3 linked regions of the Caenorhabditis elegans genome follow. The protein of the gene in region 2 interacts with the protein of the main gene of each other region in a pairwise test. Each region holds a gene or a part of one and is shown on either strand. Other genes may lie near its edges. The genes, in order: gls-1, gld-3 and pop-1.

Region 1 (11,175 bases), on a different chromosome or scaffold from region 2:
TCTAAAATTCTAACCATGTAATAAAGGTATATGTGGGAAACATAACTGTCCGTTACCGCCGAAGTTCTCGTAATCTACCGTACCTGACTACTGTAGAATAACGGTGAAATTGTATTGCCCGTAATTCTCATTTTTATTTTTAGATAGATAGTATCCTTTTAAAGCCATTTTGAAAGTGACCAATCTTTAAAAAATTAATAAAATTTTCAGACACGGACCTGATAGCTTCTCACTTCCACATAATCATGCAAATCTGAACTCTCTTTATCGAGAACTTTTACCTCCAAATAGCCCAATAACAATTACTGATACGATGTCTGATTCTCAACTTGCTGATCTCCGTCGTTATTCTCAAGCAAATAATGTTGATTGTGACCGACTTCTTCGAGTTCTTCGTCATCACAGTATTAAATTTGCACCTACAATCGTTGAATCTCCACGTCTAACCGAAAGACGTCGTCGTCGTCAACGTCCAGTTCCAGCCGATGATTATAATGCTCATCTGTCAGTTATCAGAAAAAGAGCAAAAGAAGCACTACGTGGCAATCGACCAGAGCAACCAACAAATGGAGAAGAATCAAACTTGACGATTCGATTAATTGTAAATTTGGCGAATTCAATGGGAGTAAGAGAGAAGCTTGATGACGTCATTTGTCCACAACATAGAGCTCAAGAAGAGGAAAAAGAAATGTTTGTTCCACGAACAAATGGCTCAACTCGACAAGAAATGCTCTTTTGTAATGTATGCCGATGTGAAGTTCCAATGGGATCCAAAGCAGTTCATTCTCAAGGAAAACGTCATATTGCGGCCATGGCAAAGTTTGTTTTTTAAAAATGATTTTGTAGCTCAGAAAATAATCACTAATTCAAAAACAGTTCGGAGAAAATATTTTTGAACTTTTATTGAACATTCGAATAATTTTTGATTTTTCACAATTTTTTCTGGATACATTATTTTGCTGGAAAACTAAATTGAAACTTAAAAAAAAGAAAATAATACAGCAATAAAACGTTGAAAATTCGAAGAACATTACCAAAAACGATGGCTGGATTACTGTAGGTATGAAAGACGCACGCCTTTTTGAAAATGAATTTTGTTCGTCGCGAGAGTAGGTACAGTCTTTTTGACTAAAAATTTTAAAGTTGACGCAATTAGGTAATCTATTTAAATTTTATTGAAAATAAATTGGGCATTATAATTTGAACATAACTAGTTTGGCAATTCCAAAAAAAAATTTCAGCCGAACCAAGCCAAATGGGCAAAAATAGATTTCGCGGATGCATATATCAATATCGCCAACTTCAACAAAAACACTACGGATCGAATTCGTCCAAAAATATCGATTTTTCACTTTAATTCTCAATCTCTTCGAGTAATTTGAGTTTTCAACATTTTTATCATGTTTCGTGTTCTTGCTCAACATTTTAATTTTCCTCAAATCATATTGATCAGATATGTACATATTAAAAATATTATTGTTTCTTGATTAAAATCTAAATTTAATGGTGCATTGACACGATATACAAATGTGCCTTTAAACTAATTTTTTATTAAATTCAATAATATTTATATAATGTCAAATCATCCAAAAATCATCAATTCTTTCACACAGTGTCTTCCAAGCTTTGCAATATATTCAAATTTGTCTGTAACTTTCTGAAATTTGCCTATTTTCCAATTGTTCATCAAGCCTTTTCATCCTCAGGATCATCTGATTTTTCTTTTTTTACCTTTACTTCCCGAACCCTCATCCAAAATTGTCATTTCCTGCCATTTTCAGTTTTCAATCGATTCTAGAAAAGTGTCCATCGGGAACATGACGTAACAAGGTCCATTCATTTTTTTTTCTGAAACAACTTACTCCATTTCTAAATAATCTTCGAAAGTGGTGATTTTAATAATTCATTCCGTGGTTTCAATTTGTAAAATCCCGATTATAATTAATTCCAAATGCATTTTCTTAGTTGTCGCATACTTTAAAAACTGTTCAATTATTTCATTTGTATTTCATTTTTAAAAATGTGTAAAATTTTATGTTAGTGTGAGTCATCATTTCACGAAGCGATTCTCGAATTTTTTGTATCCCAAATGTTGTGTTTTTCTCCTCTATCAGCATAAAGTTTTGTAAATATTTTTTTAGTTCCACCGTTCATTTCGCACCTAAGAAACAATTAAAATAATTGGGAAAATGAAAGAAAATTTAGAGGGAAGAGAGAGGGAGAGAGAGATAGGGTTACAAAAAAAACAAGAAATCAACGATATTATTCTTGAAGGTGGAAGACGGGGTGGTCAAAAAGATATATGTATATATAAACAAAAATATGTATAAATTAAAAAAGTGAATACCTAAACGAAAGAGAGAAATGACCAGCATTTTGAAATATAGAAAACAGAAAAAATTGAATAAAACTAATCAGGTGGTCTTGGCTTGTGAATTATGAAGAGAAAGAGAACGTTTTTCGAGACTTCAGTGATAATTTGTTATAGTTTAAACGAAGTTGTACCACGTGTACGTACCTAACGAGAAAATGTCGCTTTAAGGATGATGATGGCAATCGGGATGTGATGGATCAGAGAAATTCAATAATACACGTGTCGATGAAAATTAAAATGTGTGAGCGTTAAACATAAACAATGAAAAAAAAATTGGGTGAAAGAAAGAACAAAAAAAGAAGAAAACTATTACGAAATCACAAGAATTGATATAAAAAGGAGCAGCAATTCAGCATCTCTCAGAAATTCGAATTCTGGTTCCCGCCCCCACTGTTTCCGTTGACTCCACCAGTATTATTTGAGTTTTGTACAGTTCCCTGGGCATGATAGTATGCTATCGGAATTTGCGGTTCATATGTTCCGTTTGCACGAAATTGTCCACCTGAGAAATTATTGTGTCATGTTGAATCAATTATTCTAATTTTTAAAAGTTTAATACATACCATTATGGAATATAGTATTCTGAATTATGTGCTGTTGTTGATGATGATTGAAGTGATTTGATCCTAACATTGCTTGCGGATTTTCAATGTATACTGCATGGGGGAGGTTTGCATGAATTGGAGCGTATGAATTGGAAGAGGAAGTTCCACCATTTTGCTGAGAACCTTCCCCGTCTGAACGAGTTCTATGATCACCTTAATAATTGATTATTCTCATTATTGCCATCTAATTCAACTTGTACATGCCTTTCTTCGATAACAATGTTTGTTTTTCACAGTGTTTCGGAGCGTGAGGACCGCCACAATTAGAGCAACTTGGGAACAGCGTCTAGAAATTGAAAATTTCTCAGATTTTACGAAAATTCGAAATCAAACCTGCACTTGTGTTTGCGGGATATTTGAATAAAGGAATGGTTGCATATTGACAGGCAATTCAATCGGGTCAATGCTTCCTGTTGCATTTCGTTTGAAGTAACGAACTGGAGATTTGGCACGTGGATTCTTCCATCGAGAATATATTAATCCATCCGATGCTTCGCGAGTTTCCTGCAATAGCTTTATTTCGGAATAGATTCGTTCTTTTCAATCAATCTAGAAATGAACAGTATCAGAAACTAACATCTTCTGTTTTCGCTCTGGTACCGTTGAACTCTTCACATATTACAGCTGACAGCATCATTCTAGCTGGCAAGTCAGAAAGTTCATTGATGTATTGAACATATTGAGCTGGAGTCGCATCACGAGCAAGACGTGGAACAATACGCTCTCCGTTTGGAGCAAACGCTGCAAAAATAAAAATTGTAAATTAGAGACTATAAATTGAAAATACATACTCTCCATTGTAGATGTGCTCGCTGAAAGCTTTTTGTTATCATCGTCAAATGAAGAGTAGGATGTAGTGCATCCTTGATGAAGATATTTTTCACTTCTCTGTTGTCCGAACTCATCAAGAAGACGATGCTGTAGAGCTTTCAATTGATCACGAGATCTTTGAGCAAATGTTCTGTCACCATCACTCCAATGAATCTGAAAACCTTTATGATTTCAGAAACTTCAGGTTGCGTGTTACCTCCAGGCTGAAAAGATTATCGTTCTTCTCAATTTGTCGTCCAATAAATCGAATGATAAAGAATGTTCCCGGAACTGATGGCGACGGCTGAACTGGATTACTCTCGAAACGCGAACCTGAAAAAAAGATGCGGAATGTTATCAGTGATTTAGTTGGAATGTTCCGAACTCAATTCATCGACTAATTATCGAAAAATTTCTAGAAATGCATGTGAAAAATTCTGTTAAATATTAATTAATTGCTTACCCATAACACCTGATAGTGGCTCAAATTCTTCCTCTGATTCATGGTCGGAATCAGTATCATTCTCATCGCCAACAGCTTGTGATGATGGTACAACAAGATTGCTTTGCTCCAACTGTTTCTGAGTTGTGTAGTATTGTCTAAACAATGTTTCTATTTGAGCACGTAATCCGTCCCGCAGAGCCGCATATTTCATTTTGTCATCAAGAGTAATTGCTGGGTGATGAGTCATGGCTGCGACTGAAACAAAAAAGTATACTCCAAAACACGGAAATGAAGACTTACCAATTTTACCGATTTCTTGTAAAACGGTAATTTTATCAAGTTCATCCGGAATACGTTCGAGTATTTGGCTCTTTTCTCTCAGAATAACATTTTGAACATAGTCAGAGATCTTTAAATAAATCGATTAAATACCATCTAAAGTCGTATTCTGATTCACCTTAGCAGCTGATTTTCTATTTGTTGATGAACAAACTGCCATGAGAGTGTATATGTAACTGGTAAGATCGAGAACAGATTTGAGAAACAATTCTGGTTCTTGAGGGACCGGTGGTACCGACTGTGGTACAGTCACTGAAGTTGGATGTGCAGGGTTTGCTGCTGTGGTGGAGATGTGATTAGAACCGGGCTCCGGTTCTGGTGATGTTGTATTAGATTGGTTGATATTGCCGCTCGAACCTGAAAAATGTTGCGAATTTGAGAGGGAAATTGTGTTGTAAAATACATTTTTTAACTGTGTCAAATAATGATGAAGATTTTTTACCTCTTGCAGTATTTGGTTTGGAATCTAGCTGTTGTCTATCTGATGGAATATTATTGCTTATTCCGTTCACACTACTTGATAGCACAACTGGTACATTGTTAACATCCTTATTTGCAACGGAAACTGATGATGAAGGTGTCGTACAAGAGGTTGAATGATGAAAGTTAGCATCAGGTGGATACATAATATTCTGCCTGAAATAAAAAATTTTTAAATTATAATTCACCGACAATAATGCATACATTCCGCCTAATAACGGTGGAAGACCAGGTGGATGTTGCTGTACAAAAACCGAGTTAACTGCATTTCTTGTTTGATACAGGGCAGCATCCGCAATACCAGGAAAATAATAAACTTGTTGCGGTGGAGGTGGAGGAGAGCAAACGAATTGAGGTAAACCAGCTGTTGGATCCGAACAGTTTGAAGTCTTTTCTACTGGCCGCATTTGATTGTTATAGCAACGAACAGATCCTTCGATACAATTTCCAAGCAGGCGAAGATCGGTTGGAGACAGGAAAGAAACAAGTTCACACATAAACTCCACCTTATCCCATTCATCGTGCTGCAATCCAAACTACGTTTTGAAAACTAATAACTTTTTAAAAATTTTGTTTGAATAAAAATGATAAATACTAAAATGTCTTGTATTTATGAATCACCTCTTTGAATGCCATCACAGAATCCATATTTTTCGGATCAGTGCTCTTATATGGCATCGGCTCTTCATCACGCTTGATTTTTGGTTTTTCCTTCTTCTTTTTTGCTTCTTCGACTGGTGGATCTGTTTGAACTATTTTGGATTCTTGAAAGATGGGAATAGCAGTCGGAGTTGTGCTCACTGGAGGAGCAGAAGACGCTGATATTTGTCCCGCAGAGGATAGGGAAGAATTTGACAGAAATCCAGAAGATTTAGCATTTTCCAACGAGTGATAATTATTGTGGTTATGTGTGTAGCCACCTCGATAACTTTGGTTCGAATGATCACGATTCTTAACATTAAAATTAATTTTTATCGTAATTATACGTTTATACAAACCTTATTCTTTCGGTTCTGCTGATTTCCGCTAACATGGTTTGAATGATGATGATTATGGTTAACCTGACTTTGCCTATTACCACTGTGAGTGTTTCTGAACGAGCAAAAGCTAAGGATTTGTTTTAACTAGTTACTGATTTAATTACTTCTCCTTTTCCTTCGGCCGATCTTTATTTGTGGTTCCTTTGAAAGCACCCGATTGTGAATTAGCAGTGTTGCTTGTCTGCAAGTGAATCATAAACAGGTTGAGAAAACATGTGTTTTAAAATATGAAATAATTATGCACGATAGACTCAGTCGAATTTATCTTCGCCTACTTACCTTCTCAAGCTCGTTGTGCCCAGCCTTTTTGGCAGGAAATTTAGAAATTCCAGTTTGCTGTGACGTTGAAGAAGTCGATGAAAGTCTTTGATGTGAATATTGATTTTGAGATTGACTCTGCTGTGAAGAAGGTACTGTAGTGGTCGTAGTGGTAGTTGAGGTGATGGACGATGTAGACGTCGAAGCGTCTGAAATGAATATAAATAAATTCTATGAATCTTGAGAGTTGAATTTTCTTTAAATTTACATTGTTGCTTACCGCATTTTAGAGACCCTTTATGTTTCATTTTAACGTTTTCTTGAGAATTTTGTTGAAGTATTCCAAAATCAGAAGAGAATACATAGAAATAATAGGACATTGAATATATATATATATATATATATATATAAATCAAATTCTAAAATTAAATCAATAAATATGAAATGATTAATATAGACGTTCCAATCTAATTGTTAAAATTTAGATGCTAGAAAAGTCATTGCTTATCACTCATCACATCAATAGGGAAATCAAATGTAATAGTTTGGGTTATAATAAATAAATCGACTTTCGCACCTTGATGCTTATTGAAAAGAGAAGAGGAAGAGATGGAAAAGGGGCATCGTGCCTGTGTTGGTGGCCTCTTTCTCTTTTTTATTTTTATTATATATGTTTGCCCTCCTCGGTTCTGTACTCGTCTATTCACTTTCTTTCTTTTCTTCGGGGTCATTTTTTAAGCACAGATTGTGAAGACCAAGGTCTCCAAAATCTCGATTTAAATGAACCATTGGAAATTAAGACACAAAATTTTGAATTAATTTGCAATTGCTGCAAGAAAATTCTAAAACCTATTTAGGAACAGCCGTCCTTGTTATTTCAAAACAGATTTGTGAGAAACGTGTATACGTACTATTGCTGGAAGTGTTATCGTTGGTGACGCTATGACTGGAATTGGAATTTTGTCCAATTTGTGATGAATTCTGAGTTGTTGCAGCGGCAGTTGCTGTTGCGTTATTCCCGTTCATCGTTGACCCGTCTGTACTTTTCTTTTGCTGATGGTTCTGAAACTAGGGAAAAATATGTCGAATTTCACTATCTTTATCAACACACCTTTTTATTGGCCATACTTTTCATCAAAATACCAGTTAACCGAGACTTCTTACGCTTTTCTTGAAGAGTTAAAGCTGTGACGTCTGAACGGATAAATTTTAAAAAAATAAGGAAGGAATGAAATAAATAAGATATCAAACATCGCATACTTACGATGAATTACAAAAAGTTAATAGTAATAAGAATCATGTACAGATTTTATATTTACACGTGAAAATTGTGGGCTGCCCGAGTAAACAACAGGTGAATGAATACATATAAATTAAAAAAATAAACAGCAATTTCAAAAAAAAATTCAGTGGTTCTCGACAACCTTCCATTTGCAAAATTCGAACTTTAATCCATTTTCTTCGAAAATTTCTGAATTTTCCGATGACACCTCGGCATTTTGAACTTTCTCCATTTTACTGAAATCGAGTGACTTGAGATGAACATCGGCTTCGAAGCTGAAATTACGACAGAGTAAAAAAACTGTGCAAGCACCCTACTTTTTGAAAATACGTGTCAAGTGAATTTCATCAACCAAGTTTTCTCGCAACGCAAGATCATAGATTTCAGCTCCACCGATATTCCAGATTGTTTCGATCGAATCCACAAATGGTGGCTCCGAAAGTAGTTTCATAGCCGCTTCGAGCGAGTTTCTGAATGTAACAACAACAGGTTAAATATTATTTCATGACAGCTTACACAACAATGTAGTCATCGGACTTTTGCGCAGGAAGTTGTCGGCTCAAAACAATGTTTAGCCGTCCTGCCAACGGGCGGCGAGTTACTGGAATGCTTTCCCAGCATTTTCGTCCCATGAGAACTGCATTTCTCTACAAAAGTTATGTTACAAGTTTAGTTAGAAATCTCGAACAACCTTCGACTGATCAGAAACATTTTTGGTAACAGACGCGAAATACTGCATGTCTTTCTTGATTCGCCATGGCAACACGCCATTTTTGCCAATTCCTCCTTCGGCATCCATAGCCACTATTAAGTTCATTTTTCTCATTTTTAATGCCTAGAAATAGAAAATAACTCGATTGAGATACCAGAGAAAATTTTAAAAACGGGTAATGAGAACTTTGCACAGCAAAACGAAGCACATTTGAAATACGCTTCCATTCGACTTCGTATCGACTGAAATCTTCAAACAATACAGATTTCGAAGATAAAGATAATGAATCGTGGGAAAATCAATAAAAATAGATAATCAAAAAAAAATGAGGGTGAAAATGAATCGAGAAGAAGTGAGAGAACCTCAGATTTCTTCAAATTATCATTAGAGCGCGATTACTGGTTCCCACTTTCGAAGAATTTTCACCGCTTTTTTTGAACTTTTATGCCATTTTCTTTCCTTTGTTCACTTTAAAATGTTTTAAACTTCACAACTAAATATAATAAATTATAATAAAACTACAAGCCCATTCCTATGTCTCACATCTTCGTTCTGAATGTCCTAATATATAACTTCATATTCTTTACAGTGGTTTTTAAAGTAATTAAATTTTTTAAGAGCACACAAAATGGCTGAAAATGGCAATTTTGCTGTTCCAGCACCGCCAAGACAGTTTGGATCACTGGCGAATGCAGAAAGCGTGAATGCAATCTTGGTATGTTTTTTTTCATGAATTCTTTGACTATGTTATTTTTTCTGAATTTTAATTTAAAATTTCAGAATGCACAACAGCAAAACCATGGACCCACAGTGTCTTTGGAACGAATGGAAGTATCAAATCAAGCAGATTCACGCCACGATGCTGAAATGTTTGCAGAATTTGATAGAAGACGGAGAGCAAGAACTCTCACATTGCCAACAGATGATGTTCAGGTACAGTTTTGATACATATGAATAAAATTTTTTTAATAACTACCCACTTGAAGATATATTTTAAAGGTAAAACTGAAACTTCGTGCTCTAAACCAACCAATTTGTTTGTTCGGAGAAGATGCATTGGATAGAAGAGAAAGACTTAGAGCTCTACTTTCAACAATGTCTGAAGATGAAATTGCAGCCGTTTTGCATACTGATGAAGTAAGTTTTTCAATGTTTGAAAAATTATTTAAAAATTTGAAGGTGAATGCTGATAAAGCAGACGAAGAAACCGTTACTTGGTATCATCGTGGTCCGATTGAACTTCGGATGGCACGCGTTTCAATCGCTGATTTTTCTCTAAGAAAAGCTAAATTAAGACTTGACAAAGCTCGAGAAGAAGCTGCTCGCCCTGCTCACGAAAAAGCTTTGGCTCGTCAAGAAGCTCACAAATGGGTTCAACAAATCAATCTTCATGCTTCTCAAGTTGCAGACACACGCCCTGTGGCTTTTTGTGAATTTTCAGCAGATTCTGAACATATTGGTTTGTTTTTTCTAAGTAGAACTTTCCAACTAATCAAAAACTTCAGTTACCGCTGGCTGGTCCGGATCAGTGGCAGTTTGGAAGCGAGAACAATGTGCTCAAGAAATTAAATTTATTGGACATTCATCTCAAGCAGGGTGTGCACGTTTTCATCCCGGTGCATTTACTCAGAATGATTATTCTTCTTTGAATGTGGTTTCGTGTTCGTATGATGGTAAATATAACTGATTTTTGCTCAATTTTCTCAAAATTCGTGATTTCAGGAACCGTTCTTCTATGGTCGCTAAGCCAGGAATCACCAATCGGAGAACTAGAACAACATCCACAAAGAGTATCTAAAGTTGCGTTCCATCCAAATGGTCATCATCTCGCTACTGCATGGTAAGTTTTTTAATGGTAATAACACGACGATTTTAGAGCCGAAAATACGGTAATCGGTCTCGACTCGACAATTTGTCGTTAAATAAAAGCGTGTTCGCTTTTTTAAAGAGTACTGTAGCTTCAAACTTTCATTGTTGCCGAATTCGGCGCTGAGTTTTCAGCGCTTTTTCGTCTAAAAAATTAGATTATCGTATTGAAATAAACAGGTTTTACAGTTGCCAAAAATATTCGATTATTTCTGATGCAGTATTCAGAAAACCTTTGAATTTCAGTCTCTACAAGATAATCATTTTCAGCTTCGATTCCACGTGGAGAATGTACGACTTGACAACGAAAAAAGAGTTACTTTATCAAGAAGGACACTCAAAATCAGTAGCTGATGTGGCATTCCATCCAGATGGATCAGTCGCTCTAACTGGCGGACACGATTGTTATGGAAGAGTTTGGGATATGCGAACTGGAAGATGTATTATGTTCCTTGATGGTCACACAAAAGAAATTCACAGTGTTGAATGGATGCCAAATGGGTTAGTTCACTGGGACATTATAACTTTTTGTTTTAAAACCATTTACTTGAAATATTGATGTTATCAACGTATTTTCAGTTATGAAATGATTACTGGAAGCTCGGACAATTCAATGAAAGTTTGGGATCTTCGGATGAGACGAAATACATACACTATGCCAGCTCATACATCAGTTGTTACCCGGGTGCGTGCTGATGCTGCTGGCCAATATCTTGTTTCTGCCAGCTTCGATTGTACTCTTAAAATGTGGTCGACCACTGGATGGCAACCACTAAGACAACTTCAGGTATATCAATTGAGCTTAACTTTTTGAGTTAAAAAAAATGTTTTCAGGGTCACGATACTAGAATCCTGTGCGTAGACATCAGTCCAGATGGACAATGGATGTGCTCATCGGCATTTGATCGTACATTTAAATTATGGGCTCAATCTGATTATTGATTTGTTTTAGTAAATGTTCTAC
Region 2 (10,889 bases):
CAACAACGAAACCAAAAAGATAGTTTATAAGAAAACATAGAGTTACTAAAAAATTGTTTAACACAGATTGTCTGCCTAAACACCTACCTACTGCCTACACAGCCTGTTTTTTTAAATAAACCCTGTTTTGGAGCATTAGGTTTGTTTGAAAGAAGGTAATCATTTTGCTGCCTAGATTAAAGTTTTTCATGTTTTTTCTGCCTAATTTGATGTTTATACTTGATCTGACAAGTTTGTTTAAAATAGAACGTAATAAAACATGCTGCCAATTTTTTCAAATCTTATTCATTTTCAACAAAAGAAAATTAAATTCAGTTATAAGAGATCAATAATTTCATCAAAAAGCTTCTTAAAATATCATTGGTGCTTCCCAAAAAAGTTCACAGAGCGTACGTAAATGAGCGATATTTAGTTGGTCAACGACGCTAATATGATTCAGATTTTAAGAGAGATCAAACTTTTGAATCATAGAATGTTTCGCGTAGATTCAAAAATATATAAAAATTGAAAAGTGCAAATGAAATAACTTATATGAATAAGCCAAAAAAAGAATGTTCAATACGAGAATATGTTCATGAACATTAAGTGAATGCAATTGAATAAGGCAGACAGGTTTACTTTGAGTGTCTTCTCAAAATCTTTTGAAGAGAGGTAATCAGATAATCGATTCTTCTATTTCTTTATCTTTATTCAAAAAAGAACGATTTTTTAAGCTTTCCAGATGGAGTAGCTTTAACGTGGATTTATTTTGAATTAACTCATAATAATCTAAATTCACTCAAAAAAGCACTTTTTGCACAATTCAAAAAAGAATTTCAAAAAAGCACAATTTTTGAAATTTTCAGTCAATGTTTTGGTCAATTGCCAAATTTCGCGAAAAATTCAGGAAAAATTCGGTTAAAAAATCACATGTTTCAGCTCCTACAATAATAAAATAATTATTATTAGAAACATTTTAATAATGAAAAAAAATTGTCGACTTCCAAAATTATGATGAGTGTGGAAAACCGAGTCATCGTCATTTTAGTACTATATGAGTGATTTTTTAACAATATTCCCAATGCACTACTATCTTTAATTTGAAAAAAATTTACACATATACATATTAACGAAAAATCCAAGGAAGTCTGTCATCAAATCTTCTTTCCGTATTAAAAAAAACAAGCGTCGTTTTGAATAAGAATACACATTTTTTGGTTTGGGAAAAGAAGATGATGCAGATGAAATTATGGAGTGAGTAGAGTCAGGCGGTCGAAGATTGGCTCATTTCAAGAAATAAGTGCCTCCAATGGACAGTCCGTTTCAAGAAAAAAGAGAGACCTCGCTTTACGATTATATGGAGAAAGTGTATCGATTCAGGGAAATTCAGGAAAAATTTTTTTGTTTCTTCTATCCTTTTATCGCTACATTCAAGTGAGACGAATTAATTTTAGTCTTTCTAAAATCAAAATCTTCCACTTGTATGAAGACTATGGCGAGGATTTGAACGACCAAGAGACTTTCCATATTAGAAATTTAGAACATTATCAATGAACATGTCCTTGCTGAATCGAAAGTTGTCGGACGATAAGATGTGATTAACAACAATATTTCCGCAATTCTTTCATTTATAAACAGAACTGTAGAGGAAATTGGGATAAACTGCTAATGAAATCCTAGTTGAATGACGAAAAAAAAAGAAAAGACAATAAAAGTGGTAGTGTATATGAAGTGATGAAAAAAGAAAGGAAAGATGGAATACATTGAAACAAACCTAGATATGATGGGACCCGGGACAATATTGCGATCAAAAACAACTGGGAATTATGGGAGAAAAAAGGAAGAACATTAAATATAGGGAAGGGAACATCGACAGTGCCATAAATTGCAATTGGAAGTATAGATGCACGAAAATTCTGAATTTCATTGTGAATTCATTTAATTTTTCATGTTACCTATGCTTCCAACGTCTGCAAAAGGAATGAAAAGATAGAAAAATGACGAACGAAGAGGTGACAACAATGAAATAATACGGGAAGAATTGGAAAATAATTTCGGTTAAAATAAGTGTAGAACTGTGAAGGCTAAGCACCAACCATCGGCCTAGTCGTATAAGTCCCGTGGATACAAAGATATTCTCGACAGGCAAATGGATGGTTTGTAAGATAAAAATTGATGGAGCCGTATACGATATGCACAAATAGGGTTCATATATAGCGAAAATTGATGTAAGAAGTAGAAGAAGCTATTGGAAAAATCCCGATTTCTCAATATGTAGATGTTTCGTCTGAAATATATGTATGTTAATTAGCCAATTGTGGATTTACAAACCTAACGAAAGATCTTGGGTTACTGTAGATTCAATACTTTTGTCGGCGATCTGAAGCTTTACAGATAATTATGGCAAGCCAATAGACTACTTGCCTCTTTTTCTTTTTCATTCAGAACATCGCTAAACTGCCTTTCATGAATACGTGGTAGTTGCTCACTCGATTCACGAACACTAGCTATTAACTTCATTGGATCAATTCTGTATTGTCTAGATCCCAACGAAGACGTATCATTTTCTGCTGACTTCTCTTCATCACCGTACTCATTTGAGTATTTCGTCTTGTGTTCTAGGCTTATTTTGCCATAATCTTTCTCTACTCGAGCACGTGGTTCCAATATGGTTTTTGTGACTCCGTTGTCGCCAACTTTTCTGAAGCTATCATATGAACGAGATTGATGTGTGGATGCATGATCAACAACGCTGTATGCACCATCAGAATCGATGTATCGGGCGGATTGACCATCTCTGTAAAATGTTTTGATTATATGAATGCTTAAATATGTATTTTTTGCAAATTAAAAATGCTCATTTATGATGTAAACGAAAAGCTATAAACTCTTTTAATTTCAACTTTAAAAACGTACTTCTCGGTAAAACAGCTAACTGTTCTTGGTCTTCTTCCCGATTCATTGATATTTGCATTGGATAGGAATCTCTGAACAAAGTCTCCATCCATTAAATCATTTCCGAAGCCACTTGCAGAAACTGTAGTATCAGAATCATTGTGCGGTGACTCATGCATATAAAGCTTTTCATGATCCAAATCAACATCATTCGATTTCAACTTCAAGTGGTGTGTCATTTGCAATTGTACTTGTTCCAAAGACGGGGACCTCTTAGCTGGCCCAGAATTTCCCACATGAAAGTCGTATTCATTGGAATTGCGAACGTCTCTGTGCACATTAATTGTTCTACTTGAGTGAATATCTCCACGACTTCCTGTCTTCCAGCGTTGTTGATCATCCTTCTGAAGTCTTTGATGCTGTCGTGGGTACTGTCTTTCATATCCTTCTGTAATAATTATGATTTTATCAATTTTATTATTGTCATAGTCTTACGGTCGTGCATGCTTTCAACATTCTGATCGTCTCCATTCACTGATGTTCTTCTTGAACCAATATGTGAACGAAGATCATCTTCTCGAACTTGTTCGTAAACACGTTGACGAGGTGTTGTCGATGGATAATAAGAACCTGTGCTCGATGATGGTCGATTTCCCATGTTTCTAGACGGTTTTCTGATTTCTTGTGTTGATCGTAGAGATGGTGATGATTCACGGTGATTTCTGTGTTGTTCGGCTGAAAGTGATTGTTGCAATGATGCTTTGAACGAATAAACCAACCTTCATTTACCGGAAACAATCCGTGGACATAAGGAAAACCATCAAATACTACAGGATCCGCAAATGGCAGAGCAGACACTGAAACACAAAATTTCAATAATGATAATTTTTACGAAGACATAGAATATTGATGGAAGCTAAACGCTTTATTGTGGTTGAATTTACGTAATAAGATCATCACAACCGGGTGAAAAGACAAATATTACATAGTGGCGGTAGGAGGAACAAGAGAAAATTTTGTGGCTTAAAACTATCCAGAATTTGGCAAATTTTTCATGAAGAGCTCATTTTACACGATGAATATATAACATGACGAGAGATCTTCTAAAGGTGACCGAAATTTCCGTTCAAAAAGTTAAAGTTCTGTGGAACTATGTAAGAAAATGGATAAATATTTGAAGAATAACGCGCACCAAAGGATCCATCGACGATGATCGGTGGAGGGAACATGATATGTGTGCCAGGATGTAATCCAGCTGCACCTGAAAGCTTGTATGATTGTCGAAACAAAATATATAATAGCAACCTTTCAAAAATGTCTGAGCTTGCTGATGTTGCTGCAAATAGACGTATTTCAGCATGTGATGATGAGGAGTTAACATTGGTGGTGCAAAATGTGGCGTTGGAAATTGCATAATAGGGACGGTTGCTGCAAAATTTCCTGATTTTAAAGCACTCTGTAGTAATATTATTATCATTGTTATTTAAATAAATTTGATATGCTTTTCTTAAATAATTTTATAGTATAATTTGTGTGTACTATTTACAATCATAAAAGGCAAATTGCTCACATGAATTTTCGGAAAACGAAGATACTCTTGTGTGAGACCTTGATGGACCCCCAGACGACTCAGAAAATTGTTTTCCTTTGCTCATGTAACTGTGTTTGGAACGAGAAGAAGCTATTGATGAGCTTCTATGACGACGACCGTTTGAACCATCAGAAAGTTCACCCCGACACTGAAAAAATCTCGTTTTGAACTAAAATGTAAAATAAACATGACTAACCGGCATATTGAAATTTTTCAAAAAGTTTGCCGGAAGAGAATGATGCCAGATGGAGTTGTCATAATCATTTGGTTGTGGAGCAATGAAATCAAATTTTTTCTGAAAATTACTTGTTCTTAATCTCATTTCAGAGAGACGTGCGCTTACCGAGAGAACTTTTTGATAAGCGGTGTACAGCTTCTTTATGTTAAACTCCTTCGAACGAAGACTGGCACAGTTCAACGGAACCTCTCCTGACAGTAGATCCGCGGGCTCATACACGGAAGGAGTCATTTTAAGAATAATCCCACTCTCATCAATAATCATGTGTATGTTCCGATCAGAAACTCTGCTCGGTTCTGCCATATCAGTATTTTTAATGTTGAAACACATCGAAATAGGAAGGAGGTCCTGTAAATTCTCGAGTGTATATCTTTCTATGTATTCATACTCCTCACCATTATGTATCTCCTGGCTTTAAGAACATTGTCAATGTTCCCAACAACTTTAATTTCATAAATATTTCCACGAGTTTCGTTTCGATTATTGTAACATGGATAACTAATTATTGTCGTTGTCTCCCTCTCGATTACAGGCTGAAATTTAATGCTGATGTAATAGAAATATCCTTTAGCCAAACCATGAGTTGCGCCGTCGATGAACTTCCAAGAACTTGATCCACGTAGTATGTTGACAATGTGAAATGGAGAGTGAAATTCTGAAAAACAAAATGTTCAGGATATATATTCAGTTTATCTGCTAACATTCTCCGGTGCCGGAGACTCGCGGAAAAGTATTTCATTCAGTCGTTTTGCAGCTTCGATCAGTTCATGCTGATTCTTTTCGCGGGCGGTGATACGAAGATAGGTTGTGACGATTCCATTCTGAAGAAAATTAATACTGTTGGTTACTAGCTAAATCGGCTTGCCTTTTCTGGAGCATCGACGAAAGACATTTCCACATTTTGAATGGGGTTCTGTCTGACATGTGCCTGAAGTTCGTGAAGTGGCATCTTCATTTTTGACAGTGCCATAAAAACTGTAAAATGACAGTTTCTCTGTAAAATACGAACATTATTCATATAATCAGAGTTGAACGTACTCTCATCAACATTCGTGCTCTATCCACGTCACCAAAGTATCCAGTGATGGTTACTTGCTGTGCAAATGGATCAGGTGTAGTTCCTCCGACAGAACGATCGGGAAGTTGAATGAGGGTGTTAGTTTCTGCCATGATTGACGCGACATTCTCGTGATCCCCGTTGTCACTGAAATGAATACAATTTCTTTCGCTTAACTGGTGAACTAACCTGGTCATTAGTGAATAGTATTGGGATTCAAACTCCATATTGAGGGTTACTCTAGTTGGGTTAATCTCGATCTAAATGTTGAATCAGTTAATCAGTGGAATGTGAAGCAGTCAAACCATTGGTATATTTGACGGCAGAGGCAATCCTTGCGCTTTTAGCTGATGAATATGAGCCTCTCGTTTCGTGTTGTATGACACCTGTCGTCTCTGATTAGCATCCTCCGCCATCTGAATTGTTTGACTGTAACATAACAAGTTGTTGCCTTTACCTGTGCAGATTGCTGGAAATCATGATAGAAGTTTTCAGGATTCACGATAATATCTTTGAGGGCAGACGATACAAATAGTTTTCTAAAATCGGAGTATTAGAATGTTGTAAGCGTAAACCATATTTAATACCTTGCAGATGCCGCATTTTCTGCCATTTGGAGGCGTGTGTCAGCATCGTATTCAACGGCAGAGCGAACGAATGGATTGTAGGAGTGCGCTTCATCATGATCTTTTTCATGGCTTTGCTCCCCCATCTGCAAAATTGAAATCTTGTTTCTAACACTAAAGCGTTTGCTCAGTAAATTTTTTGAGTTTCAAATATTTTATAAATGATCGTCAGTGCCTCCGTCGATGTTACTGGTATTAGTATCATCGTGGAACGATTAATTACAGATAATATTAGCATTATAAGGATGAAATTGCACGAAAACAAATGAGAAAACACACTGAAAATCACGCTGAACGTGTGTTCGAGGAATTGGGCGCCAAACAATCTCCTTGAAGAACGTTGTAAGACCTGCTCGATTTCGGTAATGCGCCTTTCTGAAAACTTTCTTGGTTACTGTACTTTTTAAATTTGATTAGCTGCCTAATATTAGGGGCGGCTTCATTTAACAGACTGAACATTTGAATTACATTTTAATAAATTGTTATACTATTTTGTTATATCTGTGTTGCTTTCTACTTTTTCAAAATTAACTTCCCCTTTTTTAGAAACACCCATTGGCTTTGCATCATTTTTTATTTTGCGAGCTACTGTAAACAAGTCCGCAAACACCGCACACAGAGAATTACGTCTTAGTCGACGCGCAAACCGCTTTAACTTATTTTCGCTTTTTCCGTTTTTAATACAACTTTTGTTAGTTTCCAGGCTTTGAATATGGATGAAGAGGGTTCTCGTTCGTCTATCACTGATGAAGAAGATTATGTAGACGATAATGATAATGGCGAAGACTATGAAGGTATGCTTATATATATATTTTTTCAAATTTCTTCAACGTATGGTTTTCCAGCGACAATTGAAGAGGAGGAGCTTCTAGATGAAGGGGACTACGAAGATGAATTGAAAGGTGAATTTCTTTAATTTGCTTCTGACTCATTTTTCTTTTCAGACTTGGAAGATGAGGGAGAAATGTCAATTGAAGAACTTCAACGTAAGTATGGCTATCGTCCAGCGGAAAATTCATCTGCAAACAATGAAGATACGGAAATCGCCGAAGAAGTAATTTACAAATGATAAAGTGAAATTATAAAATGTTTATATTTTTCAGAATGTAGGGGAATCAAGTTCGGCTGCTGCAGAACCGCACGACTCAACAATTTTCGATATGGGTAATTCAATGAGTGGCTTCGACGACGATGATGACGACTATGCACCACCGCCAGACCCATGGAAAAGAAGTATTCGTGTGGATCCAGTACTTTTCCAAGCCGACGTCCCGCTTTTTAATGAAGCAACGGTTGAAGGTAAGCAATGATCTGATTTTTGATTCTATATCGATTTATTTCTTCAGAATCTGCTCGAGAAGATGACACTATTTTATGGACAATTGATCAGACGAATCAGCCAAGTGATGAAGTTATTGACAACTATCTCAAAGATGTAGTAGGCTTACGAAAAGCCCACGACCAACCATGTCCACCAGCTGGCACCGAATCACGAGACGACGAGGACGCTCTATGTGCTTTGTATAGAAGCAACTTTGACACAGAAAAGGCGAAAGAATCATTCCCTTTTCCTCATATAAATGCCCCATTCCGCACTGTTCGCTCAGATGCATTGGGATTCGATGAGAGTGAAGCAAAGGCATTTGAAGAGTCACTCGAGCTGTATGGAAAAGATTTTTCGCTGATAAGGAGACTACGGGTTAGTTGTATATTTTGCAAATTCAAAAAGTTTTCATAATGTTTTATTTTAGCTACCCTACCGGAAAGTTGGAGAACTTATCGAATACTACTATCAATGGAAATTAACCCCTGGGTGAGAGAACGACGATTTCAAATTTTAATAATTTATTTCAGCTATCGAGTTTGGCGGGACGCTCATCCACAGCATGCGCCAGTAGTTCAGCCTCATTTATCTGCTGCATGGCATCAGCAAGTAGCTCAACTGGAAGATCAAAATGGTCAAACTGGATTTGTTGAAGCCTCCTTCTCCGAGCCATCTACTTCAGAGGAGCCATCAACTCTTACGAACTAAAACTAGGGAACTATTTTTTTACTTTTTCACCTAAGCATTTATTATTTTCGATCTCTGTTTAACAAATAATCTCGCCCCTGATACCCATTTACGTAATCACAACAATCAAATTCCTTCGTTGTCAAATTAATCTGAATCAAATATTCACTTTCATAAAATTTCATTGTTAAAATTAGAGTTTATCAACATTGATGACGACCCGTACACTGTCGGACTTCGGTCTCCGTATCATCACACTCGATTTCCTCCCAGTCATCATTTCTAGCACGTACAACACGTCTTCTTCTGGTCTGTGATCCTTCACCACATGTAAGTGAAAAACTGGGAGCCCCGTAAAAATATGGTGGAAATATGGAGCAAAAAGCATACCAATCGGAAGATAATGTTACTGTCTACTGAAAACCAACATTTAATTCTGCCATCTCGGTCTCAGTATCTGAAAATTTGCATCTGAAATTTTGGTGTTAAATCCCGTAGATTTTGCACTTATCGACCCCGTTTTCAGAGAGAGAGAGAGAGAGTAAATTATAGCTACGTTCGCACTTTTGTCTTACCGCATAAAATCCAATGCGCGTGCTCCAACCAACCGCAGTTGGCCCATGATCCAAGGGTACACCGAATTGGGGGTACATTTGTTCTTAGGGTACATTCGACATCATCACAATCATTCTTAGGCTACATCCACCGGTTTGTTCATAGGGTACATCGGCACTATGTTCCAAGGGTACATCCAATTTTCAAAGGTGTTGGGTATCTACGTGTACCTAGCCCTCAACGTGGATATGAAGATCGTGCAACGTGAACTCATGATCTATGTATACTAACTTTCTATTTATTCCTTTGTTATTTATGTAATAATAAACTACTCGTCTTAGCCTCCTGGTTCAGCCTCGAATACATAACATTGTCGAATACATAACATCGAATACATAACATCGAATACATAACACTCATCATCTTTTTTGCATATGATCACAATTTTTTCGTTTTTTAACTGCTGTATTGAAAAATTCGAATAAATTCATAGTTTTGTTTCTAGATTTCGATTTTGTGAATTATTTATCAAAAATACTAATGCGAAATGAAATTGAAATCAAGAAACAAAACTATGGTTCAATACGGCAGTTAAAAAACAAAAAATTATGATCCTATGTGAAAAAAATGAGAAATCACAACTCTAAGAAATTTCAGTTATAAAAATCCGTTGTACCCCTTGAAAATTGGATGTACCCTTGGAACATAGTGCCGATGTACCCTATAAAAATCTTATGGATGTACCCTCTGAACAAACCGGTGGATGTACCCTAATAATGATTGTGATGATGTCGAATGTACCCTAAGAACAAATGTACCCCCAATTCGGTGTACCCTTGGATCATGGGCCAACTGCGGTTGGTTGGAGCACGCGCATTGGATTTTATGCGGTAAGACAAAAGTGCGAATGTTGCTATAATTTTTAGTATTTTTAGTCAGTAGCGAAAAAGACGCCCGTAGTCAAAAAGCCATGTAGTCAAAAATCCAGTAGTCAAAAAGTATTTCCCCAAAACTATACTGATTTGGGCAAGTGATAAATTGGCTGAAAATTGTTTGAGCAGCACCGAGGTTTGATTAATAACAAATTATCTATGGGAAAGACTGAGGCACTTTTCATCGATAAGTTTCATGAAAAATCAAAAAACGAGAAAATAAGTTTGAATTTATGAAAAAAAATTGAAAGCAATAAAATATTTAAAAACATGCAGCAATTAAAAAGGTTAACAACGGAAGCATTTAATTAATTGATTGGCTTTCAATTTTATTGAGTGTATTTAGTACTTTCTTCAACAAGTTGGACTCGAAATACAAATCTATATCTACATTACAATTTGTATATGCATTTCTGACACAGAATTTGTTTCCTTTCCAGATTTTGACCTCTTTGAAAAAAGAAAATTCCTGTTCATCTTGCAACTTGACAGTTTTCTCAAAATATAAATGATTATTCTGAAGTGATGACTCGTATTCCCACGGCTTTGGCTTGTAGTTGAATGCTGGAATCACCATATTTCTATATTTAAATCCTGGTGATGTTCCATAAATCGGTTCGTGAATAAACAATCTCCATGTGACATTGAAATTTCTTTGTCCCTTCGGAAATCCCATTCTCAAAAACATCATAACAAAACGGCAATGATGCTCGACTGGAAGTGGTGAGAAACTATTTGGAAGAGTTATAATCATGTTCTTGGTTGGAAAAATTCTTCGGACATTTTCAATGATATTATCCGTTGGTAATATTTCAGCACTTCTATGAAACATTTTAACCAAAGTATTAACACCAAAGCGTAGATCTAGTTCCACTTTCTCCAATGAATTTTTAGAAATTGGATGAGTTGAGATTGGATCACCAAGTCGTTCTTTAGTGAATAAATGAAATTGTTCAGGAATTGTAATAAACTCTTCCATATTATTAATTGTGATTATTAATTTTA
Region 3 (8,524 bases), on a different chromosome or scaffold from region 2:
CAAAAATTAGTTTATCAATTTAAATATTTTTTCTCATCAATTTAAACAAAAGTAGATCGATTTTAAATTTAAAAAAAGCTATTTTTAAAAATTCTAAAATGTTCGTTTTAACGACACCCTTCATACGGGTGTCGGTTTTCCCATTTTTCAAAAAAAAAATCGAAAACATTTTTTTCTTTTTTTAAAATCAAATTTTCCAGAAAACATTTCTAAAAAAAGTGCAAAAAAGCAAATTTCCCACTAATTTTTAACCCAAAAAAATTTTTGTAGCACTCTCTCTAACTCCCTGAGCGGCTGGCCCCACCTGTCCTACAGTACCCCCGAGAAGTTTCTTCTCGGAAACTGTTGTACTGCTCTGCTCAATATCCTCCAATCGGCGGCCGCTCGTTAACAATATTTGTTTTGCAAGTCTCGTTCGCAGCTCATTAGAGTATCTGTGTTATCACTAGTTGCTCACAGAGCACAAAACAGTCACTTGAGATGTGGAGGGGCTTAAGTCGAAATGGAATAGATACGGATCAGATTTTCCGATTGTTGCCTCAAAGTTTTTTTTCAAATTTATTTATATATAAATATTTGTACTCTCTGAGAGCAACTTTACATTCAATTGAAAGTTTCAAAAACTCGAATTATTCGAAAATACCTAAAAGTAAAACGGTAATTGGTCTCAAAGCGACCGACTTTTTGAATCTCAAAAGACCGTGTGCCCTTAAGGAGTACTGTAGTTTTCAAGATTTGCCGCACAGCTCTGAAAGGTACGGTAGTCATTCAGTTTCCACGAAATCTACTAAAGAGTTCGAATTCGTCAGTGAAAACTCAAATGTTTGAGTAGATTGGTGTATTTAGTCACTTGTCTACAGTACCCCTAACGAGAAGGAGTTGAAAAAAATGTAGAGGGGATAAAATATGGCAATTTTCGCGCCAAAACTACAGTACCCGATCTCGAAGCGAAGTTAAATTCAAACAAACTTGCGCGCCTTTAAGAAGTACTGTAGTTCCTTTAGTTTTTGCTACAAAAACCGAATGGAAAATCGTTCCTAATTTTTCAGAAAACCTTGGCTCAACCTGTGCATGTGGTGTCAGGCTGCCCCTTCACGGTTTGATCTACAAAAAATGCGGGAATTTTTCACCCAAAAATATGTGACGTCAACAGGTTCTTAACCATGCGAAATCAGTTGAGAGCTCTGCGTCTCTTCTCCCGCCTATTTTGTAGATCTACGTAGATCAAGTCGAAATGAGACACTTTGACACCACGTGTCTGTGTACAGTACCCCGAGAAGATAGGCCTAGTAGGTAGGTACGGTAATCATTCAGATCCCCGCTAGCTCTCAACAAATTCAAAAAACAAGTGTCAATTCTCTACAGGAAGTGGCACCAATCATGTTCCGGAAGCAATTAGAGCTCTCTCACACTTGTTCTGGTGTGGGGTCATCATCATTTTGTAATGAATGAATACGAACACACACACACCTTTTGAACCTATTGTTTTCCGCGTCTTTTTGTCTGTAGAAAAAAGGTGTCCAAACATGTGTGTGTGGGGGGGGGGGGGGCCCAGAGGTGTCTAATTGTCTATTGTATCCGTGTCTCGGGTACCAGCAACCATAATTACCACCACCATCGAGACCCCCCAAAGTGACGCAAAAGGAAATAATTTCGGCTCTTGACATGATGTTCAACAATTCAAAAGAAATTTTTGGTGTTTTTTCGCCAATAGTTTTTCGAGAAAAACAAATTGCCAAAAAACACGCAATTTTTTGGGAGTTAATGAGGCTTCTCCAACAAAAAAGAAGAAAAAACTGTTTTCGAGGAAATGCAACGAGTTTTTGGATTCAGAAGATAATAGATTCAGTTTTTCGGTGAAAATTTTGTAGAATTTCTCACGAATTTTTGGCTTCCCTCATAAAATGAAATGGAAGAGTTTTTGCCGAACTAGGTCATTTTGGCTCAGTAGATTTACGGCGCGTTGCGTGTCGCGTCGCGGCTCGATTTTAGTTGTAAAACTAAATGCACTTGTCCGTGTGGAGTACACGACTATCCCAGTCCGGCGGGCGATTGTCAATGGAGCGCGAAAAATTCAATGAGGAAGGCCAGAACCCCATGGCGGAAAGCCAAGAATTTTTGGATTTGGAAGACAATAAATTCAGTTTTTTAGTGGAAATTTTGTATTATTTCTGCTTTTTGGGGAAGAAAATTGTAGGAAGAATAAAAAATTAATACGGTTTTTTTTCTACAAAAATGGAGAAAAGCCCTAAAAATTCTTGAAATTGGGTAAAAATTTGAATTTTTTTTTTTTGGAATTTCTGCTTTTTTGGGGAAGAAATTGTTGGAAAAATGATTTTTAATAGGATTTTAAAGCAATTTTTTGCAAATTTCGACGATTTTTGATTCAAATTGAAGAATAAGCTCAAAAATACACAATTTTCCATATTTTTCAATAAAGCTTTCGATTTTAGGGTGTTTTTTCGCTTTTTTTAAATAATTTTTGGTGTAAATTCTTAAATTCCAAAAATATAGAGGCTCTCGAACCCTTTAAAAATTCAAAATACATAATTTTTCCCATTTCTTAGGCAATTTCTGGGCAAAATATTGAAATTGCAACTTTTAAAAGTATTTCTAATGCCTAGACTACATAATTTTTCTAATAAAATAGGGGGAATTGTCATAAAAAGGATTTTAAAGCGATTTTTCGTCGATTTTTGGGGGAAATCTTGAAATTTCAACTTTATAAGGTATTTATAACATATTCGAGGCCTAATATTCACCTTTGTTTTCAGATTTTTCAGTGAAAACTTCCAATTAAAGCCGATTTTTTGCCAATTTCGGTAATTTTTCGTTCAGAAGTATTTAACTTGTTAACTCTAAAATACAATTTTAAGTCGATTTTTGTCGATTTTCGCCAATTTTTATGTGTTTTAATTCAAATTTTTTCAATTTTCCAAGTAAAAAATCACCATAAATAGAGGCATAAACATGGGTAAAGCAGCTGCCGAGTATCCAGGACTGAAGTGTGACATTAAACCGGGAAACGATGGTGACATTGGTTCGACTTTTGGAAATGCACTTTTTAACACTGAAAATTTGATAATTATTCGGTTAGAATGGTTAAAAAAGAGCCAAATTTTTGATTTTCAACCGATTTTTTGGCAAATTTCACAATTTTTAGTCAAAATTCTTTAAAATCCAATTTTATAGGGTTAAAGATTTCATTTTTCCAGATTTTTTCATGAAAACTCCGATTTTAAAGAGATTTTTCGGTAATTTTCACAATTTTTAGTTAAAATTCTTCAAAACTCAATTTTATAGGGTTAATTATCTCATTTTTCCTTCAAAATTTCGATTTTTGAAAGCGATTTTTCGCAAATTTTCACAATTTTCAGTTAAAAATATTTTAAAATTCAACTTTTATAGTGATATCCGAGTTCAAAACCTCTCATTTTTTAGATTTTTCAATTGAAAATTCGATTTTAAAGCGATTTTTCGTAAAATTTTAAAAGGAATTTCTAGCACCTCTAAAGGCCTGAAATACATAATTTTTTAGATTTTTCCATTCACAGATCTCAAAAAAGGTCAATTTTTGGCGCCAAGTTCAAATTTCTCAGATCAATTTTGAATATTATCCAATTCTTAATCCTTTCGCACCCCTATACAGTCTATTGAGCACACACAGACGGACCAACTTGTTCAAGTACTCACGACGGATTAGCACACAAGATAACGGACCGAGATAGTATGGGATTCGGAGAGACGCAGATGGTGTTCGAACACCGTTGCGTAACATCCTTTTACGTCATTATGTCATTGCGTAAGGCCCGGGACCATCAGGTCAATTCTTAGGGGTGTTTTGAAATTAGCATGGATTTTTTTAATAGAAAATAGTGAAAACCGGAAAAAAAATTGGTTAAAAATGAGTAAATTTCATTTATAAAGTGTTAGAAATACTTTAAAATATAAAAAATGGCGAAAAATCGCTTTAAAATTGGTTGAAATTCAAAATAACACTGAAAATACTCAAATTTGTCAAAAAAAAATATTTTAGCGATTTTTAATTAATTTAAATTCCCGCGCTTTTGTCTCGATTTTGAACTCCGCCCATAAAACCGTGCCGCACTTTTGCACTTTTTAATTTCAACGTAAAGTCCAATTTTTGGGTTGTTTTTCTAGCTTTTAATGAATTTTTCGGCGATTTTTAAAACCTTTTTCTCCATTTAAAAACTGAAAAAAAACCCCCAAAATATGGATTTACGCTGAATTTGAAAAAAAAACAAAGTGCGGCACGGTTCTATGGGCGGAGTTTAGACAAAAAATGCGGGAATTTAAATAAGGTTTTTTTTTCAAATTTAATGATTTTTTTCTCTTTTTTTGGGATCAGTCTTAGCATTTAAAGTTTTTATTTAAATTATTTAAATTTAAATTTATATGTATTTTTTTAATATTTAATGTCCCTTTTTCCTGCAGAAATTTAGAAATTTAGAAGAATTTTCAAATATTTTTTTTGTGTAATAAAGTCGAAAGGCAATTGAGGTGGTCCATAAAATTTTGTGTGATAGCTGGCCACCTTCCCCTTTCGATCAAATTTATTGGAAAACTCACCATCAATCGATGGATTTCGACCGGCACCGTCTAATTCTGCTTCCATTACAGCTTCTTTTTTATCATCGGCTAACTGTTGTTCTGACGTTTCACCACTAATCATTGGATCATCGTCAGCATCCTCATCCCGACGGAACACCTTCACCTCATCGCCGAGCTCTTCGTCGGCCATCATTTTTGTGTATTTTTATATCTGGAAATTTAGAGCATTTTTTAACGATTTTAATGGGAAATTGACGGAAAAATGGAGGGAAAAGAAGCACGGAACCATTTAAAACAAGAAAAAAGGGGGACTAGGTCCGCGGAAGTTAGGCCATGGAGAGGGGAAAGACGCGGGAAATTTGAATTCGATAGGATTTTGGGGAGAAAGTGGAGGTTTAGACTTCTAAAATTGGAAAATGTTGAATTTTTATTGAATTAGAGATAAATTTTGACGACAAAATCGAAATTTTAGATGAAAAACTCAAGAAAAATCAGCAAAAACGGTGAAATTTGTTTTAATTTTAATTTAAAAAATACTTTTGTCCACCGTAACTTTTAAAGGCGCATGCCGCTTATTTTGGTGTGGGTCTCGACACGAATTTCGAACAAAATTACTTTTCTTTGCTTAAAAATGTCGAATTTGAGCTGTTTCGTTGAAAAAATAATTTGAAACGAGGAAATTTCGATGTGAAATATCTAGAAATTGATCGAAAACTTCGAAATTTGTTCAAAATTAAATTTTCAAGTATTTTTGTCTACCGTAACCTTTAAAGGCGCGTGCCATGTATTTCAATGTGGGTACCACCGCGAATAACAATATTTTTCGGCTTATTAATTTGTAATTTGAGTTTTTAAAAATAAAATCATAAATTTTAAACAAGGGAATTCCGAACAAAAAGGAGAAAATCATCAAAAATCTTTAAATTTGTTTAAAATTCGCATTTTTCGACATTTTTGTAAATATACCGTAGTCTTTAAAGGCGCATGCCATGTTTTTTGGCATGGGTGACACCACGATCAGACTTTAAATACCTTAAAATTACCTATTTTTGACGTAGAAAATTACTTTTTTGCTTATAAATCCGAAACGCGGGAATTTTAAATTAAAGAGCAGGAATCGATACGGTGAACAAAACACATCTGTCATTGGCAACAGATGGCCTAGCCGAAAACTAGGCCGCTACTCGCTCTACAAAATTCAAAAAGAATGACGGGAAAAAAAAGCGAAAAATGTTCGAATGAAGAAGTTCCTCCAATTATAAAATGCAAATAAACGTAGAACCCAGCAGGAGGTAGGAGGGAGGATAGTGGAACGAGGAAAACGAGGCGAAAAGGATCCATAAAATTCAAATAAATGACGGACCGGGGGACGTGAGAAGAAGGGGGGAAGAAGACAAGAGGCGGTTGGTGGTGGTGTATGCGCGCGCTGTCGGTAGTGCACCATGGCCCCCCGCTACACCAATTTCTCTGCGTCTCTCGCTTTCATCGCTCATCAAGGGGCCGCCCATGCTAAATGGTGTGTGAGAAGGCCCTGTGTGTGTGCGCAGGTGGCCGACAATAATAGCTGTAGAAGAGGTTAAAAGAGAGCATGGAACTTGAAGAGAGTGGAGGTTGAGTGAGAAAAAATAAAAATCAGATTGTCCTGAAAAAAACCATTTAAAAATTGATAAGAAGTGATTTTTGTGGGCATCGGTAATCGGTAACCCGGGGCGTCAATATATATTTTTTATCGAAGTGTTCATTTTCTTCGTTGTAACTCACCGGGAAAACCGTGAGAATTGGCGGAGAGATAGAGACACAGCGTGTTTTCATCTTTTTTTCTTTTTTCTAATTCTCCTTTCACTGTGAATGTGACCCCAGTCAGATAAAAGAGAAAACGGAAGGAGACAAATGGCAAAGACTATCCTAAATTAGAGGGAACACACCCTTTTTGGTAGCGAAATTGGTTGAAAATCAATAAAAATTAATAATTAATTCGAATTTTCCGAGAGGAGTACACGTTGCTTGAAGGGTACGGTATTTTTTTAAAATTTTTTAATAAATTTCTGAATAAAATCGATTTTTTTTTCGATTTCGAATAGTTCTTTGTGAAATTGAGTGAAAAATTGAAGAAAATCAAAATAAACTGCTGGGAAATCTCGAATTTTTCTAGATTTCCGTTTTTTCTGCGGAATTTTCCCAGAAATTAGAGAAAATTACCTGGACAAGTGTAAAAACGAGGATGTTGGGAAAACGGAGACTAAAATTGGAGAAAATGCAACGAAAAAGCTTGAAAAAAATAAATTTGGCTGTATTTCGGGAACACTGCGAAGCAAATTCAATTTTTTTATTACGGGATCACGAAAGTCTAATAACGCGTATTTCGCAACATATTTAACGCGCAAAATATCTTGTAGCGAAAACTACAGTAATTCTTTGAATGACTATTGTAGGTCGATTTACGCGATCTCGATTTTTTTCCCATTTACTTTATTTAGTTTTTTGTCATTGCCGAATGATAAATAATTTCCGTTAATCGACCTACAGTAGTCATTTAAAGAATTACTGTAGTTTTCGCTACGAGATATTTTGCGCGTCAAATATGTTGCGCAATACGCATTCTCCGAATTTTATGTTACCGTAAATAATTTTTAACAGAGGAAAAACAACTAGAAAAAATCAATGAAAATTTTTCATGGCCAACTCTTCTTATGGAAAAGTGTAAAAATACAATTTTTAGACTATTTTGTTGGTAATTTGTGTAAAGAAAAGTCGCACAAAAACTACAGTAACTACAGAAAGAATTGAAAAAGTAAAAAAAAATTCTCACGAAAATTAGAGAAAATCGAGAGGCAGATGTTGTTGAGCCACCAGGCGTAACAGACAATGAGTGTCTGGAAATGTCTAGTAGTAATAATCTAGAAACGCTGCAACAAAGAAGGGCTATTTCCGTTCTCACCCATAGGAAAGGTGACAGGTTTTTAGTAAATAGGGGGAGGTGGTGGCTCTGGCGATGAGCTGGAAAAAGAAGGTCATTAAGCGAGAAATTTGAATAAAACCTAATCAGACCGCAATCGTCGCGCGGAGAGATACGCATCTCGAAAATTCATCCATTTTTCTTGCCTGCCTAATTTGAAAATTGCGTGGCGACAGCCAGCTATCCGCACTTTCCATCTTGGTGGGGCCCCTCCCCGAAGATGGAGCGGAGTCCCCCTCCCTGTCAATAATTTATGTAAGAATATTGGGGTCTCTCCTTTAGCACTCGGAGTGTAGAAAACATCGATTGATCATCAATTGACATGCAACCATCCGCGATGCTGCTACTGCTGTTTCACGAGGGATTAGCGTGGAAATGTGAATGTGTGTAGAAGCAAAAAAGGAAAGAAGAGAAGAGGGAACGTTTGAATTTTTGAAGGACATTCTGAGATGAAGAGGGAGAGAGAGAGGACAAGCGTAACCATTTGTTTATATGAAAAAAGGTGGAATGTTTTGATTCATCTAGGCGTGAAAATCTCCCGGGGAGCGGTCGGTGCCACGTGGATTTTTAAATTTTAGGTCTCAACGCGACCGCACAATTTCATATGACAGGCGACAGTAGACACCTTGCTAATTCGAAATTTGCTTTCATTCTTATTACACAGTCGCAAAAATTCGTGTATTTTGTGTAAAACGCGGTCTTGACACGACACATTTTTGTTGAATTCGAAAAGGAATGCGCCTTTAAAGAGTACTGTAATTTCAAGATTTTTTTGGACCAAAACCGCATATTTTCAGAACTAGAAAAATGTTCAAATTGATAAAAATAATTGCAAAAAATTATACAGAACACTTAAAGGCGCATACAATTGGGCGTCAAACGATTTTTTCCGGCAAGTCGGTAAATGGCCGGAATGGAAAATTTCCGGCAAACTGGCAATTTGTCAAATTTGTCGACAAAAAAAATTTGCCGAACACCAATTTCCGCCCACCCTGA

The links.
Region 1: the proteins of gld-3 (region 2) and gls-1 interact in binary tests that used the Caenorhabditis elegans proteins (3 or more experiments, as listed by UniProt).
Region 3: the proteins of gld-3 (region 2) and pop-1 interact in a two-hybrid assay, tested with the Caenorhabditis elegans proteins (one study listed by BioGRID).

The regions. Positions count from the first base shown.
Region 1 is NC_003279.8:8,733,506-8,744,680, reverse strand, and holds gls-1 (Germline survival defective-1), read right to left. Parts: upstream 7,610-11,175; coding exon 7,463-7,609; intron 7,414-7,462; coding exon 7,263-7,413; intron 6,561-7,262; coding exon 6,373-6,560; intron 6,275-6,372; coding exon 6,198-6,274; intron 6,146-6,197; coding exon 6,052-6,145; intron 6,005-6,051; coding exon 5,675-6,004; intron 5,578-5,674; coding exon 5,258-5,577; intron 5,210-5,257; coding exon 5,016-5,209; intron 4,931-5,015; coding exon 4,692-4,930; intron 4,644-4,691; coding exon 4,535-4,643; intron 4,490-4,534; coding exon 4,253-4,489; intron 4,123-4,252; coding exon 4,007-4,122; intron 3,964-4,006; coding exon 3,771-3,963; intron 3,721-3,770; coding exon 3,557-3,720; intron 3,493-3,556; coding exon 3,313-3,492; intron 3,266-3,312; coding exon 3,184-3,265; intron 3,133-3,183; coding exon 2,938-3,132; intron 2,877-2,937; coding exon 2,734-2,876; 3' UTR 2,133-2,733; downstream 1-2,132. Other genes in the region: C36B1.9 (RING-type domain-containing protein), read left to right, coding at 211-832; dhfr-1 (Putative dihydrofolate reductase), read right to left, coding at 7,758-7,908, 7,951-8,103, 8,150-8,280, 8,325-8,459; prp-4 (Pre-mRNA processing factor 4 (PRP4)-like domain-containing protein), read left to right, coding at 8,974-9,060, 9,126-9,278, 9,345-9,482, 9,525-9,804, 9,851-10,018, 10,068-10,185, 10,482-10,712, 10,791-10,998 and 1 more. UniProt on the Caenorhabditis elegans protein: Required maternally for germline survival by forming a maternal complex with gld-3. During hermaphrodite development forms a complex with gld-3 which promotes the sperm/oocyte switch freeing the translational repressor fbf to turn off sperm promoting factors.
Region 2 is NC_003280.10:7,128,226-7,139,114, reverse strand, and holds gld-3 (Defective in germ line development protein 3), read right to left. Parts: upstream 6,473-10,889; coding exon 6,348-6,472; intron 6,300-6,347; coding exon 6,218-6,299; intron 6,177-6,217; coding exon 6,066-6,176; intron 6,021-6,065; coding exon 5,950-6,020; intron 5,908-5,949; coding exon 5,742-5,907; intron 5,698-5,741; coding exon 5,569-5,697; intron 5,525-5,568; coding exon 5,405-5,524; intron 5,359-5,404; coding exon 5,281-5,358; intron 5,237-5,280; coding exon 5,099-5,236; intron 5,052-5,098; coding exon 4,809-5,051; intron 4,761-4,808; coding exon 4,662-4,760; intron 4,614-4,661; coding exon 4,445-4,613; intron 4,303-4,444; coding exon 4,180-4,302; intron 4,136-4,179; coding exon 4,067-4,135; coding exon of another isoform or gene 3,978-4,066; exon of another isoform or gene 3,788-3,977; intron 3,732-3,787; coding exon 3,654-3,731; intron 3,610-3,653; coding exon 3,370-3,609; intron 3,323-3,369; coding exon 2,896-3,322; intron 2,777-2,895; coding exon 2,404-2,776; intron 2,360-2,403; coding exon 2,311-2,359; and 4 more. Other genes in the region: T07F8.4 (ELM2 domain-containing protein), read left to right, coding at 7,099-7,180, 7,232-7,288, 7,331-7,440, 7,490-7,685, 7,733-8,085, 8,138-8,199, 8,241-8,418; F10E7.1 (ATP-dependent DNA helicase), read right to left, coding at 10,189-10,889. UniProt on the Caenorhabditis elegans protein: Required maternally for germline survival and embryogenesis. Forms a complex with gls-1 which promotes the oogenic cell fate by freeing the translational repressor fbf to repress sperm promoting factors.
Region 3 is NC_003279.8:2,825,529-2,834,052, forward strand, and holds the start of pop-1 (Protein pop-1), read right to left. Parts: upstream 4,784-8,524; 5' UTR 4,766-4,783; coding exon 4,591-4,765; intron 3,071-4,590; coding exon 2,952-3,070; intron 1,546-2,951; exon of another isoform or gene 1,355-1,545; intron 1-1,354. UniProt on the Caenorhabditis elegans protein: Transcription factor. Part of the Wnt signaling asymmetry pathway. Binds to the consensus sequence, 5'-(C/T)TTTG(A/T)(A/T)(G/C)-3'.